Stegostoma tigrinum: one gene and its partner. The protein of the gene in region 1 binds, or shares a complex with, the protein of each later gene. Links are inferred from orthologs where the notes say so. Each region holds a gene or a part of one and is shown in the gene's direction. Other genes may lie near its edges.

The links. The genes of interacting proteins can lie anywhere in the genome.
Region 2: zbtb8os (region 1) and fam98b share a complex: the UniProt entries of both Homo sapiens proteins name them as parts of the tRNA-splicing ligase complex. The link is inferred for Stegostoma tigrinum from reciprocal best matches to the Homo sapiens genes ZBTB8OS and FAM98B.

The regions. Positions count from the first base shown.
Region 1 is NC_081377.1:45,047,973-45,055,112, reverse strand, and holds the start of zbtb8os (protein archease), read left to right. Parts: upstream 1-4,139; 5' UTR 4,140-4,187; coding exon 4,188-4,269; intron 4,270-5,079; coding exon 5,080-5,104; intron 5,105-6,276; coding exon 6,277-6,398; intron 6,399-7,140. Other genes in the region: iqcc (IQ domain-containing protein C), read right to left, coding at 507-593, 4,002-4,070. UniProt on the Homo sapiens protein: Component of the tRNA-splicing ligase complex required to facilitate the enzymatic turnover of catalytic subunit RTCB. Together with DDX1, acts by facilitating the guanylylation of RTCB, a key intermediate step in tRNA ligation.
Region 2 is NC_081363.1:66,498,894-66,505,813, forward strand, and holds the start of fam98b (protein FAM98B), read left to right. Parts: upstream 1-3,818; 5' UTR 3,819-4,078; coding exon 4,079-4,116; intron 4,117-6,597; coding exon 6,598-6,746; intron 6,747-6,920. UniProt on the Homo sapiens protein: Positively stimulates PRMT1-induced protein arginine dimethylated arginine methylation.

The DNA.
Region 1 (7,140 bases):
GGCAGGGACATGCCCTCCTCCTTGCTTTTGAAATCGACGATCAGATCTTTAGCTTTGCTGATGTCGATGGACAGATTATCTTTACACCATGCCACCAAGCACTCTATCTCTCTCCTGTATTCTATCTTGTCATTGCTTGATATTTGGCCTACAGCAGTAGTGTGGTCAGCGAACTTATAGATGGAGTTCAGACAAAATTTGGCCCCAAGGTCATGTGTACAGGAAGTACAGTAAGGGGCTGAGTACGCAGCCTTGAGGGGACCAGCGTTGAGGATTGTCTTAAAGGAGGTGCTGTTGCCTATCCACGCTGACATCCTCTGTGGGTCAGGAAGTCAAGGATCCAGTTGCAGAGGGCAGGGCAGAGACCTAGGTCTCAGCGTTTGGAGATTAGGTTCAAATTATAGTGTTGAAGGCAGAGCTGTAGTCAATAGGTAGAAGCCTGACATAGGTATCCTTAGCAATGCTTGGTCAAATTCTGTCTTTATGTCAAGGGTTGTCAATCTCACCTCAGCTTTGTACTTCAGCTCTTTTGTCCTTGTTTGAACGATGGTTTTAATGAGATCTGCAGCTGAATAGCCCGGACAGACTCCAAACTGAAACAGTGAACAGATTTTGTTGAGTAAATGTCTTTGATAGCATTGTTGAGAACACCTACCTTCGCTCACTATTGATCAAGAGTAGACTGTAAGTGGCTGTGTTTAATTTGACTTGCTTTTTGGGCACATGCAATCTTCCACACTGTCAGGTTGATGCCAATACTGTACTGGAACAACGTGGCTAAGAGCACAGGTCTTCAGCTGGAATACTGTCAGGGCTCATAGTTTTGGCAATATCTAGTCTCTTCAGTCACTACTTTATATCATATAATGATCATCTTTAATAGCAGAGCAGATTCAAAGGGCCATACGGACAAATGTGTTTATGAACATTAAAACAGACTTAATTGTGCATTGTTCATTATTTCATTGGCAACCACAACATCTAATGTACATCCTTTACTGCTCTAGAACTTGATTGACCATTTCAGATGACAGTTAAGAATTAACCATACTGCTGTGGGTCTGGAGTCACGTGTAGGCCAGACAGATAAGGCTGGCAGATTTTCATCACTGAGATTTTTTTGTTTTAAAATGTCAACGAATGCTCATTTCAACATCTCCTAGGTTTCAATTTCAGAATTGTTAACTAAATTTATATTCCACCAACTGTCATGACAAAATTTGAATCTATAACCCTGGGAATTAGCTCAGACCTGAGTTACCAATTCAGTGATATTATCTCTACAGTCTCCAGGAAAAGACAGCATTTACTTCATAGAACAGTACTGCACACAAACACAGCCTTTGATCCATCACATCTGTGCCATCCATGACACCATTCTAAACTAATCCCAACTTCAGTTCCCATTCTACACAAAGCTCTATGCCTTTTTAAACCTGTGCCCATGGCACTGGAACCCAGTGAAAACAACTGGCCTGATGGAGTTCCCAGTTGTGCACGCAAATCCTGTGCAGACTAGCTGGTGGGAGTATTTGCTGACATTTTTAACCTCTCCTTTGTATGATCTGTGGTTCCCATCTGCTTCAAGAAGACCACTATCATCCAGACACCAAAGAAAAATCAAGCAGCATGTCTTAATGACTACCAACTGGTGGCTTTGATAGCCATCATTATGAATTGCTTCAAGGGGTGAGAAATGGCACACATAACTCCAGCCTCCCAGATTACTTTGATATACTACAGTTCACTTACTGCTGCAACAGTCCACAGCATCTCCCATCTCCCTTGACCCTACACTGGAACATCTGGATAACAAGGACACCTAAGTCATACCCCAACTCCACTTTCAACATCATATTTCTAGCCAAGTTCATCTTCAAACTCTGAGACTCTTAGGACTCTGTACCTCCCTCTGCAAAAGGATCCTCAACTCTCTGATTCACTGACTATAATCAATAAGGGCAGACGACAACACCTCCTTCACAATAATCCTCAACATTGGTGCCCTGCAAGGCTGTGTAATCAGAGCCTTACTATTCTCCTTATACACTCAAGGCTGCGCAGCCAAATTCTGCTTGAAATCTATTAACAAGTTTGCTAATGACGCTATCATAGTGAGTCAGATCTTAAACAAGAAAGAGAGAGCTTAGTGGCATGGTGTAAACACAACAATCTATCCCTCAATGTCAGCAAAATTAAGGAGCTGGTCATTGACTTCAAGATGCAAAGTGGAGTATACAACCCTGTCTGTATCAGTAGTGCTGAGGTGAGGATGGTCAAGAGCTTCAACTTCCAAGGAGTGAATATAACCATCAATCTGTCCTGGTCCATCCATGTCGATGCTACAGTCAAGAAAGCACATAAACACCCCTACTTCCTCAGAAGGCTAAAGAAATTTGCACGTCCATTGTAATTCTTACCAATTTTTATAGATGCACCAAAAGAATGCATCCTATCCAAATATATCACAGCATAGCATGGTAACTGCTCTAACCAAGACTACAAAAAAATTACAGAATTGTGAATGCAGCCCAGTTCATCAAGGAACTAGCCTGCTGTCCATTGACTCTGCCTGTACTTCCCACTGTCTCAGGAAGGTAGCCAACATAATCAAAAATCTATCCCACCCTGGTTATACTTTCTTCCACCCACTTCCGTCAAGCAGAAGATAGAAGTTTGAAAACATGTACCAAAAGATTCAAGAACGGCTTCTTTTTTCTTGCTTTTTGGCAGATTTTTACGTGGACATTTCATATATCAAAGTTGATATTTCTCTGCACCTTCTCTGTAGCATTCACTTCTGTTATCTCGATGTACTTATGTAAGATATGATTTGCCTGTATCGCATGCAAAACAATACTTTCACTGTCTCTCAATACATGTAACAATGATAAAATTAAATCAAATATTAAAAGATTAAGCAAGCAAAACTACTCCAACATTGAGTGAGTCAGATATATAGAGTTTTGTAGCATGGAAAAAGGCCCTTCAACTCATCTCGTCCAAGCCAGTCATCAAAACCTATCTACTCTAGTCCCATTTTTCAGTAGAATAGTAGAACAATAGAATAGAAGAATCCTTGCAGTGTGGAAGCAGGCCCTTTGGCCCAACAAGTCCACACCGAACCTCAGGGCATCCCACCTAGATCCATCCCCTTATAACCCACCAAATCTACACCTCCCTGAACACTACGGACAATTTAGCACGGCCAATCTACCTAACCTGCACATCTTTGGACTGTGGGAGGAAACTGGAGGAAACCCATGCAGATACGGGGAGAACGTGCAAACTCCACACAAACAGTTGCCCAAGGCTGGAATCAAACCCAGGTCCCTGGCGCTGTGAGGAGTACTTGGCCTGAGGCCTTATTTGTTACAGCACTTCAAGCAATCATTTAAATGCTTAAATTTTGTGATGACTCTTGTCTCTATCACCATTTTAAACAGTGAATTTCAATGATTCTATCCCTCTCATCTATGATTTTTCAAAAATCTTCCTAAGTGCCCCCAAATCACTTACCTCTTAATTTAAATCTATGCCCTCTGGTCATTGATCCCTCCACAAAGGGGAAATGTTTTGACCTATTTATTCTGTCTCTACGCCTCAAGATTTCATACATTTCAATCAGTTCCCACACTTCAACCTTCAATGCTCTGAGAATAACAGCCCCAGCCTGTTCAGCCCCCCTTCAGAGAAGAATGGCTCCAATCCAGGCAACTTCCTGGTGAACCTCCTCTACATCCTTTCCAGTAAGATCACATCCATTCTCTGTTCAAACATTGAACTGTGACAAGCCTAAAAGAGGGAGGGGGTTCACAAAATCCAGTCTTCGAAATGCACTGAGTTGTTACCATGGTAACCACCTGGCTTCAATGATAAAACAAGTTTTCAATATTCGACAATCGACAGCATTCAGACTTTCTGGCATTAAGAGTCCTCGTGTATCTCACTGAAGGGACAAATGACTCCACTGAAGCTGAAAGGTCACACGCTATACTCACCTGAAGAAGACACAAACCGTCGCTCTTCTCGCCCACCGCCATCTTGCTAAGGGCAGGAGGTGACCTCATCGTTGATGACGGACAGTCTGTTCAGCCAATCGGGTGCCGCTCAGTGAGTCCATCCGGGGATGCGAGGGATGGGACCCGGTCCTGTCGGCATGCGCAGAGGAGGCTCTCGGCGGGTCGATGGACGATCGGGAGTATTCCCTGACCGCGGCGCAGAAAGCGGTGAAGGAGAAATATCCGCCCGTCAGCAAGAAGTACGAATGTGAGTGCAGCTTCGTCTAGTGCCGCCTTTGTGGCGGAAGTACCGGGCCCCAGGTTCCAGCCGAGGACGTTCCCAGGCAGACTGTGGAGGGAGGAGGGATGGTGGCGAGAAGGAGCCTGGGCCTTGTGGGTGTAGAGGGTTGAGACGTAATCGGGTTGGGAGTGGAGTCTAGCTGGACTCTTCAAGTTAAGAATCAAGCCTAATCCCCGATCTAAAATTCTACACATTGACTGATTAATTCTCTTTCACAGACGCTGCCAGACCTGCTGAGTTTCTCAAACATTCTCTGTGTTTGGTTAAGAATCAAAAACAAATGTTGTCAGATGCTCGCAGCCGAGTTAAAAATGGGAAGGTGCAGTTAGGTCTGGACCTGGAAAAGTTAAGGGGTTTGTGATTTATTCTAGCTTCTCGATGCTGCCCAGCACCTGACCTGGAAAGCGCACATTTAATTGTTGAGTAGGTAAAAAGCAGAATGTGCTAATCGCCACCCAGAACATTCAGCCTCCCGTGTATCACCAGACAGTAAAGTATGATATCTTCACTAGAACACTGGGCAAAATCTCAACCAAGATAAATCGTAGTCACGGTGACCAATTAAGACAGCAGGAAGTGAGCAAATAATCCATAATTGTTTCCAGTGTTGTGGGGTAAATTAAACAAATACAGCTGCCGGTGTCATTGTTTTCTTTGATATAGTGGGTCATCTTAGTCGCGGTACATTGTAATCTCATGTATTATAAAATGACAAGGTTTATAAAAATGATTTTCAGCTTTTAATTTCTGTAACTTTGATTTTTTATTTGTTCTTAGACTTGGACCACACTGCAGATGTACAGTAAGTTCTTAAAACAACTACTTTTTATGGAAACAGTTAGCTATTAAAAACAATTTGGAATACACAGTTCTTTGATACTTGGGAAGTAACCTGTAATATCTGAATTTTATGATTCATGCCAGCTTTTATTGCAACTTTGGGATTCCACATTGACTCACTATGTGAATTTTGTTGTATCGTCTTTCTCATAACAAATATTTGAATGCTTTTGTTCCAGATCAACTGTTGGTTTTATTGAGCTTATTTTCTTAAAGTGTATATATAAGCTACCTTCTTCAAAGTGTTAAGCTTAATCATCACATCAACTTAAACTTTATTTAATTGAATTTAAAAAGAATTAAATTTTATCAATCATAGTAATGAAATTATGGGGCTAGGAATTCCAAAATTTATTGTAAGTTTAAACAAATTGTACATTCTGTATTCACTTTTTGCAGGAAAATAATTTTATAATTCTCCCAAAATATCAATGGCTGTCTGAAAACTTTGTCGGACTATGTTTACTTACAGGAAGATTATTGAAATGAGGAACACATTCAATCTAGTGTTGTGACTGAGATTTTAATCTTATGACATGTATATAAGATGTTCTGCATATTCTACTTGAATTGTGGAACACAAGATGCACCATAATTGCAATTTAACTTTGCAAACTGGAACGATCTGTAAAGGAAATGTTTTAAGAAACATCAATATTGGAGTATTTTCAGGCCTTGCAATTGTTGACACCGGTAGGAGAAATTAATATATATTACCAGTTATACACTTTTTTTCCCAAGTTAGTTCCTATTAATTGTAATTGGAAAATTTGCAGATATTGTGTATAATGTTTGAGTCGTCTTATTTGTATGCTATATCAACTGATATACAAACAGTAAATGTTAGAAATACACCTCTGTTCCACAAGCTCCTAAAAGATCAACCAGATCTCCAGTAGTGACTGTCCTTCAAAATTAATTTAAAAAGGCTTTGTTATTGTGCAGTCTTTTGTCATACCATTCTATGATCTGATTTCTGTCTGGCTGACCCTTTGGGATTTGTAGTTGAAAGTAATTGACAGCCACTAACTTCATAGTTTGTGATTAATATAACAGAGTTGGCAATCTGTGTGTTACATTTATGAAACAGTTAATTTCCAGTGCTGAAGTCCATGAAATTGCTACTTTTTACAGGTTACATTCATGGGGCGATACATTAGAAGAGGCATTTGAACAGGTTGTAATGGCTATGTTTGGATATATGACTGATATTGAAACGGTGCAGCCATTAACAACAATTGAAGTAGAGGCTGAAGGTAACTATGGTGACGTTCTGTGTACGTTTGTATGTATAATTTTTCAATAGACAAAACATTTCCGTGACACATTCCTCTTTAGGCTAGTATGCTCAAGTGTCAGGGCGGTTAGATCATTTCTTTGGTTCCAAATGGATTATTTTGCATGTTTCACATTTTTTTGAGATGAAGGTATGAGGATACAGGACATAATTTACTTGGTTTAAGTGTGAGCCTCAAGACATTTACTACCCATGAAGTTTGGAGAAGAGGATAAATGTGAAACACTGTATTAAACTTGGTACACTTGATCCTCTGTGCAATCAAATAAATTTTCGAAAAATAGAATAATTTTTGTTAGAAGAGAATTTTTTATCAAATATTAATTTAATAAGCACTATTCAATTAAGTGGAAAGGTGATCTGGAGTGTAATGGCCATTATGACTCTGTCAATCCACAAAATTAGAGGCAGTTCACACTTGCATATTGAGTCCTTGGTACCTGCTCAATTGCTTATCAGTACAGAAAGTAACAGTGGGGTACATTCATTAGAAAGGAAGTCAATGGGAATTGATGCCTGGTCTCCATTACCATTAATGGGTAGCAACAAGTTGCCTACCTGATGGCAAATTATAACAAAAATTTGTTTTAAAAATGTTAATACTAAAATAATTGGGTACTGTTCTAACAAATGGGCTAAGCTGATAGATAAGCTAATGTCATAAATTGAATCACTGCAAACTTTCTGATGCAAAAACTTAA
Region 2 (6,920 bases), on another chromosome or scaffold:
TTCTGTTGTCCTTTTTGATTTCATTTTTAAAAAGGGGGATCCAGGAATGGGTGATAATTGGGAACAATTTGACAATTAAAAAATATTATGTAGAGCACAGTGTCAGATAATAGACCAAGATATGTACAGAAATTCCTCTTTTTTTTAGGAAGTTCACCAGAATGGCTACTCCGAGACAACGATTCAACGAGTATTTATTGTGTATTATGTGTTATTGTAATGGCTGTATAAAAAATTTTGGTGTAGGTATAAAGGGGGAAAAACAATATATACCCAGAAAGCCTGTGGTATGACCCACCAGAAATCGCTGTATGTGTAGATGGTACCAACTAGCAATTAATAGATGCAAGTAAAGGAAACTATTTAATGATCTAGCCACAGCATATGGGGCAGGGGTGTCAATGGTCAATAGCCTTGATTTGGTTAATTTGGAAAATAAACTCAGGATCTTGATGCAACAAGTCAAACGAGCCCTAGAAGAACTGAATACAGACAATCAACCAGAGACCATTGGGATAAATACAGAGATTCAGGCTAGCCACTACTATGTGACCATAGTAGAGGGTCACAGCAATACGATTAACCAGGCCATCCAGGGTAAAATCAGGGATGATGGGGAGCAGCAAATCCGCAACACGTACAGCATCCAAGGATACTGGATGATTGAACAGCTGAGGGAGGACCTCAGGCAGTCTAATGTAAATTATCATAATATAAAAGACAACAGTTATTCAGGCAGGCTGGCCAAGGGAAAGTCCCATCCTGGATCAGTGATGCATGCTGTTTAACTCTATGAACAGCTCAAAATTTGTTCCAGAAGAGATCCCATGCTAACATCTCTAGCTGTCAGTTATGGCAGCTCACCGAGGTTTGGTATAATGAAAACTGCAAGCACACTCTTGGCAAGGTGCTTGGCTTGGTGCTAGGGATTCCAATTATCCCTAGTGACAAGGTTGAGTTGAGGACCTTTGAAGCCGAAAATATTGGAATTACATAAAAAGGTATTGGGATGGGTTACTGTGACACCCTCCTACATGCTGTGGAGAGATTGGGACAATTGATCGGGACCACTCGAACAAACAGACAATACCTTCATGCCCATGCACTATCAACCGTGACCTCAGCTCTTCTCATACCTAGCTGTGGACCTAATTGCACTCACCTTGATATATCTCAGGATACCAGTGCTACGAGTGCAGGCTGGGAAAGACAGCTATCCCAAGAAATCGGCCTCTCACTATAAATAATACTGTACATGCACACAGGGGCTTTAAGATGGATGGAACTCCCAGCGTTATCAATATTGTCGCTTGTATTTGTTTTGATTGCTGAATGTTGTCTATGCACTATGATACTGTATGAATGACAGGAGTTTTCATCATTTTTGTACATATATTTATAGGATAGGTTTGATCAATGTACATAATTGCTTTCACATGATTACATAGGCTCGCCTGACCACAAACATAACCAACTTATACAATTAGGTTTGAACTTCATTTGCATGAGCTGTTTTCAGTTCTAAAGGGGTGAAATGTAGCAGTCTCCTGGCTGCTAAAACACAGATAGATTGCTAACTTGGAAAAACAGGGATTCTGGGTACATTGGCCAAATAAAACTTTGAAATCACAAACCCCACACACCAGAAACACTGCAAACACTATAGCCAGGTGCTCATGACATTAGCATAACGTAAAAGGCAACAGTAATTCTGAACAGACATACCCCCAACAACTTATCTACTAGACAAAGGAGAGGCCACACAGAAATGCATTGCATCTTACTTCACAAAGAAAGTAACAGTAGCATGCCATCTAAATGATTGACTCTTGTTTCAAATTATTGTGTGTCTCCATGATTGGCCACAGCTATAGAAAGTTCCAGAAAAAAATATCAAGAAGGTATGAAACAGGGTTCACCTGCAGATGTTGCTCTGGGAACTGCTCTTAAAACTGCTGCTGGAATAAGCTGAGGCCTTCTGAGGAGACCAGCATGGCAATAGGAGCAGGCCAGCTGACCATCCATAGATGGAGGAAGAAAGTAGCTTCACAGTCCCAGAGACAGAGCCAGAGACAGACTAACAGTGTAAATCTACAAAAGCTAACAAAGTGTAGGGCTGGATGAACATAGCAGGCCTAGCAGCATCTTAGGAGCTCCGTGTTCATCCAGCACTACACTTTGTTATCTCGGATTCTCCAGAATCTGCAGTTCCCGTTATCTCTATCCAAAATCTACAAGAGACTTGGGAAGTATTGTAACCTCAAGGGGCCAAATAGTATTAAAGTTTAGTTTATTAATAAAGATTATTGTAACTTTGTTCCTAATAAAGTTAGGACTGTTTTGTACTGGTACTGGCTTGATTTGACCACTTCATATTGTGGGATGCCTGGACAAATTAATTCATAAAATTCTGCTTAGAGTTTTCTAATGTGCTTAAGACGAGACAAGACAACAGATTAGTGCTGGGTCCACTGCTTTTCGTAATTAATATAAATGATCTGGATGTGAATATAGGAGATGTAGTTAGTAAGTTTGCAGATAACATCAAAATAGGAAAGTGAAGAAGATTATCTCACAGTACAATGGGATCTTAATCTGATGGGCCAATGTGCTGAGACGTGGTAGATGGAGTTTAATTTAGATAAATGTGGTGTTTCATTTTGGTAAGGCAAATCAGAGTAGGGCTTACACAGTTAATGGTAGTGCCTGGGGAGTGTACCTGAACAAAGAGACCTGCCGGAGCAGGTGCACTTTGAAAATAGTTTTGCAGGTAGACATGGTGGTGAAAAAGGCATTTGGCATGCTTGCCTGCATTGGTCAGAACATTGAGTATAGGAGTTGAGATGTTATGTTATAGCTGTATAGGACATTGGTGAGGCCACTTTTAGTCTACTGTGTAGAATTCTGGTCTTCTTTGATGCAGGTTCAATGGACCAAAGATGGTCTTTTGAAAGCAGTTGAGATGGGGCTATCCACTTCAGAATTTACTGAACTTATCATCACAGATCAAACTGTTGTGTAATTTGGAAGAATATATAAATTCTACTACCAGTAAGTGCAGTCTATTATCAGAATTTCCACTATTTAAATATTATGCTTCCTCCTCACTCATTCCTATATGAAAGAAAGTTACTACGAAGTCACATTGCTCCTTGGTCCTGAAGATTTGTCTGAAATGTGTTTCTAAGAAATGTTTAACTTGGAGTCTAGCTGTTAAACTTGAGAAGGGGCAGTAAATATTTACAAGGATGTTGCCAGGATTGGAGTATTTCAGCTATAATAGAGAGAGGCTGAATGGCCTGGGCTTTTATCCTTGGGACTGTCAGAGGCTGAGGAGTGATTTTGTAGAGGCTTATAAAATCATGAGGGGCATGGATTGGGTGAATATCCAATGTCTTCTTACTCGTAAAGGGGAGTTCAAACTGAGAGGGCATAGGCTTGAGAGGCAAAAGATTTAAAAAACTTGTGAGGGGTAAGATTTTTCAAGCAGAGCGTGATGCTTGTATGGATCCAGATGCCAGATGAAGTGTTGGAGGCTGGTATAGTTACAACATTTAAAAGGCATCTGGATGGGTGTATGCAAAGGAAGGGTTGAGAAGGATACGGGCCAAATGCTGACAAACAGAACTAGGTCATATTGGGACGTCTGGTTAGCGCCAATGAATTGAACCCAAGGACCTATTTCCGTGCTTCATAGCTCTATAACTCTAGACTGTTTGGGGACAGCAAGTTGTTGTTGATGCTGGCGGTTCCGTCCACGTGCGGGGAGATGTATTTCGGGGGTGGGGGGGGGAGGTTGGTGGAGTCCTCCAGGCCGCCAGGGCGGCGGTGCTTGCGGATGTCCCGAGGGGGTGAGGCGGTGTTTGTATTATTACCGATGAAGGTGGTGGCACCTCTTGCCGTTTCCTTCTGGAACAAAAGGAGCGGGAGCAGGTTTGAAAGCGGAGCGATTGGTAAATTCACTGCGATCGGTTCAGTGCGGCCTGAACGGATCCTGTGTTGAGGCCGTTGTGTGCAGGCTGAGGCCTCGGGTTTGTTGTGGGCCCTTTCGCCCGAGCCTATCATCATCACCCTGACCATGGAGGGGGATGTCCTAGACACGCTGGAAGCCCTGGGGTAAGCCGCCTTTTACCTGCTGCTTTTACTTTCTGGTTTGCCGTGGAAGGGTTTATTATACCTTTTTTGGTATTAAAAGAATGGAGCAAAGTGATGTGGTGGGTTCTCCCTGCCTGTTGTTGTGGGGAATGAATGGGGAGGAGGTGGTTTCCAGCGCAGGGACCCACTGTGGCCATTCACTCGTACTGCCCCCATCCATGGAGACTCCCCACCTACCCTACTCCAGATCAGCCTCACCCATCCCACTTCACCCGGTCACTATGTTTTCCATGGGTTAGTGCTGGTGACACTTGGACCATAAGGATGGGAGGGGTTGTTGGGAGCTGTCAGTGCTAGTGATACTGTGGGATCATAAGAATCGAGTGTTGCTGGTGACGTTTGGACCAGAGGGATTATTGGGGTTGGGGTTGTCAGTGCTGGTGATACTGTGGGTTCACAAAGTTGTTGCTCACACTATGGGAACTGGCTACTGAGAGGAGAGATTGGATGTAATCTCAAAAACTTGAAAATGTGTGCCAAAGGTCGATGTCATGGCAAGCAACATGGGACAGGGCCTCAAATGCAGTTGGGTTCTGTCAAGTTCAGGTTGTTTGGTAATCTGTATGGAATAGGGCAGTGTGATACCCTAGAATTTTGTGGGAAGCTAGGGAAGTGATTGCTGGGCCCTTTTGCTGATACATTTGCATGATCGATCGCCACAGGTGAGGTGCTGAAAAACTGGAGGTTGGTGATCATGGTGCTACTATTTAAGAAGGTGGTGCAGAAAAGCTAGGGGACTATAGACTCCTGAGTCTGATAGTGGTAGACAAGTTATTGCTGGGGATTTTGATAGACAAGATTTACATGTATTTGGAAAAGTAAGGATTGATTAGGGATAGTCATCATGGCATGGGCAATCATATCTAATGTGAATTTTTTGAAGGAGTGACGAAGGCAGAGTGGTGGATGCTATTTATGTAGACTTCAATAAATTGTTTGACAAGGTTTCACATGCTAGAGTGGCAAGATTCGATTATGTGGAATACGAGGAGAACTAGCTATTTGGTTGCAAAATTGGTTCAAAGATCGGAGACAGTGTGGTGGTGGAGGGTTGCTTTTTGGACTCAGCCTGTAACTAGCGGTTTGCTGTAATGATAGGTACTAGTCTGCTGTTTTTTGACACTTTTTGTTAAATGATTTAGATGTAAACACATAAGGTATGGTTAGTAAGATTGTAGATGACACCAAAATTGGTGGTGCAGTGGATAGCAAAGAAGATTACCTTGGAGTACAGTGGTTCCTTTAATCAGATGGGCCAATGAGCTGAGGACTGGCAGATGGAGATTAATGTAGATAAATGTGAAGTTCTGCATGTTGGTAGGGCGAATCAGGGCAGGACTTGTATACTTAATGGTAGGGTCTTGCGGAGCCGAACAAACAGACCATGGAGTGCAGGTTAGTAGTTCCTTGAAAGCAGAATTACAGCTAAACAGTAGTAAAGAAGGCATTTGATATGAACCAGACCCAAAATGCTGTCCCTGATTTTTCTTCAGAGGCTGCCAGACCTGCTGAGCTTTTCCGGCAACCTCCCTGCTTTTGTTTCTGATCTACAGCATTTGCAATTCTTTTGACTTTTTTATTTAAAAATGTATTGAATATAGATGTTGGGAGATCATGTTGCAGCTGCACTGGACATTGGTTAGGCCACTTATGGAATACTGTGTTCAGTTCTGATCTGGCTACAGGCAGGTTGTTGTGAAACTTGAAAGGGTTCGGAAAAGATTTACAAGGATGTTGCCAGGGTTGGAGTGTTTGAGCTTTATGGAGATGCTGTTTAGGCTGGGATTATTTTTCCTGGAGTGTTAGAGGCTGAGAAGTGAGCTTATAGAAGTTCATAAAATCATGAAGGATATGAATAGGGTGGATAGCCAAGGTCTTCTATCCCAGGGTAGCAGAGTTTAAAACTGGAGGGTGTAGGTTTGAGGTGTGAGGGGAAAGATTTAAAAAGGACCTAAGGGGGACAGGGGTGGTGTGTGTATGGAAGGAGCTGCCAGAGGAAGTTGTAGAGACTGGTACAATTGCAACATTTTAAATGCATCTGGATGTGTATACAAATGAGGGTTTAGAGGGATACAGGCTGAAAGCTGGCATATGTGACCTAGATTAATGTAGAATATCTCATTGACATGGATGAGTTAGACCTAAGGGTCTGTTTCCATGCTGTACACATCTATGACTCTAGTGATGCCCCTGGGCTGGGACTGTGGTTCTTAGATTAGTTTTTCTCTCTTTCATGGAGTACAAATCAGCATTGATTGCCTATCCCTAATTACACTTGACATTATGATGGTGTGCTGTCTTCATGAACAGGTCTAGTTCATGTACTGTAGATATGCCCACAATACTGTGGGGAGGAAGTCTTCAAGATTTTACCCAGCAACTGTTGTTTTGATAACATTTTCCGTTTCTAATAATAATTACACTGGTGTCTTTTTGATGCAGGTACAATGGACCCTTGTTGGAAGAGGATGCTCTTTTGAAAGCAGTTGAGATGGGGCCGGTCTCTTCAGAATTTACTGAACTTTGTGTGTGGTTATCATCACAGATTAAACTGTTGTGTAATTTGGAAGAATGTATAAATTCTACTACCAGTAAGTGCAGTCTGTTATCAGAACTTCTATTGTTTAAACACCATACTTCCTCCTCATCTCCTGTATGAAGGAAAGTTACTACGAGATCAGTTTGTTCTTCAATCCTGAATATTTCTCTGAAATATGTTTCTAAGAAGTGTTTAGCTTGAATACAATTGAGAAGTTCAATACATA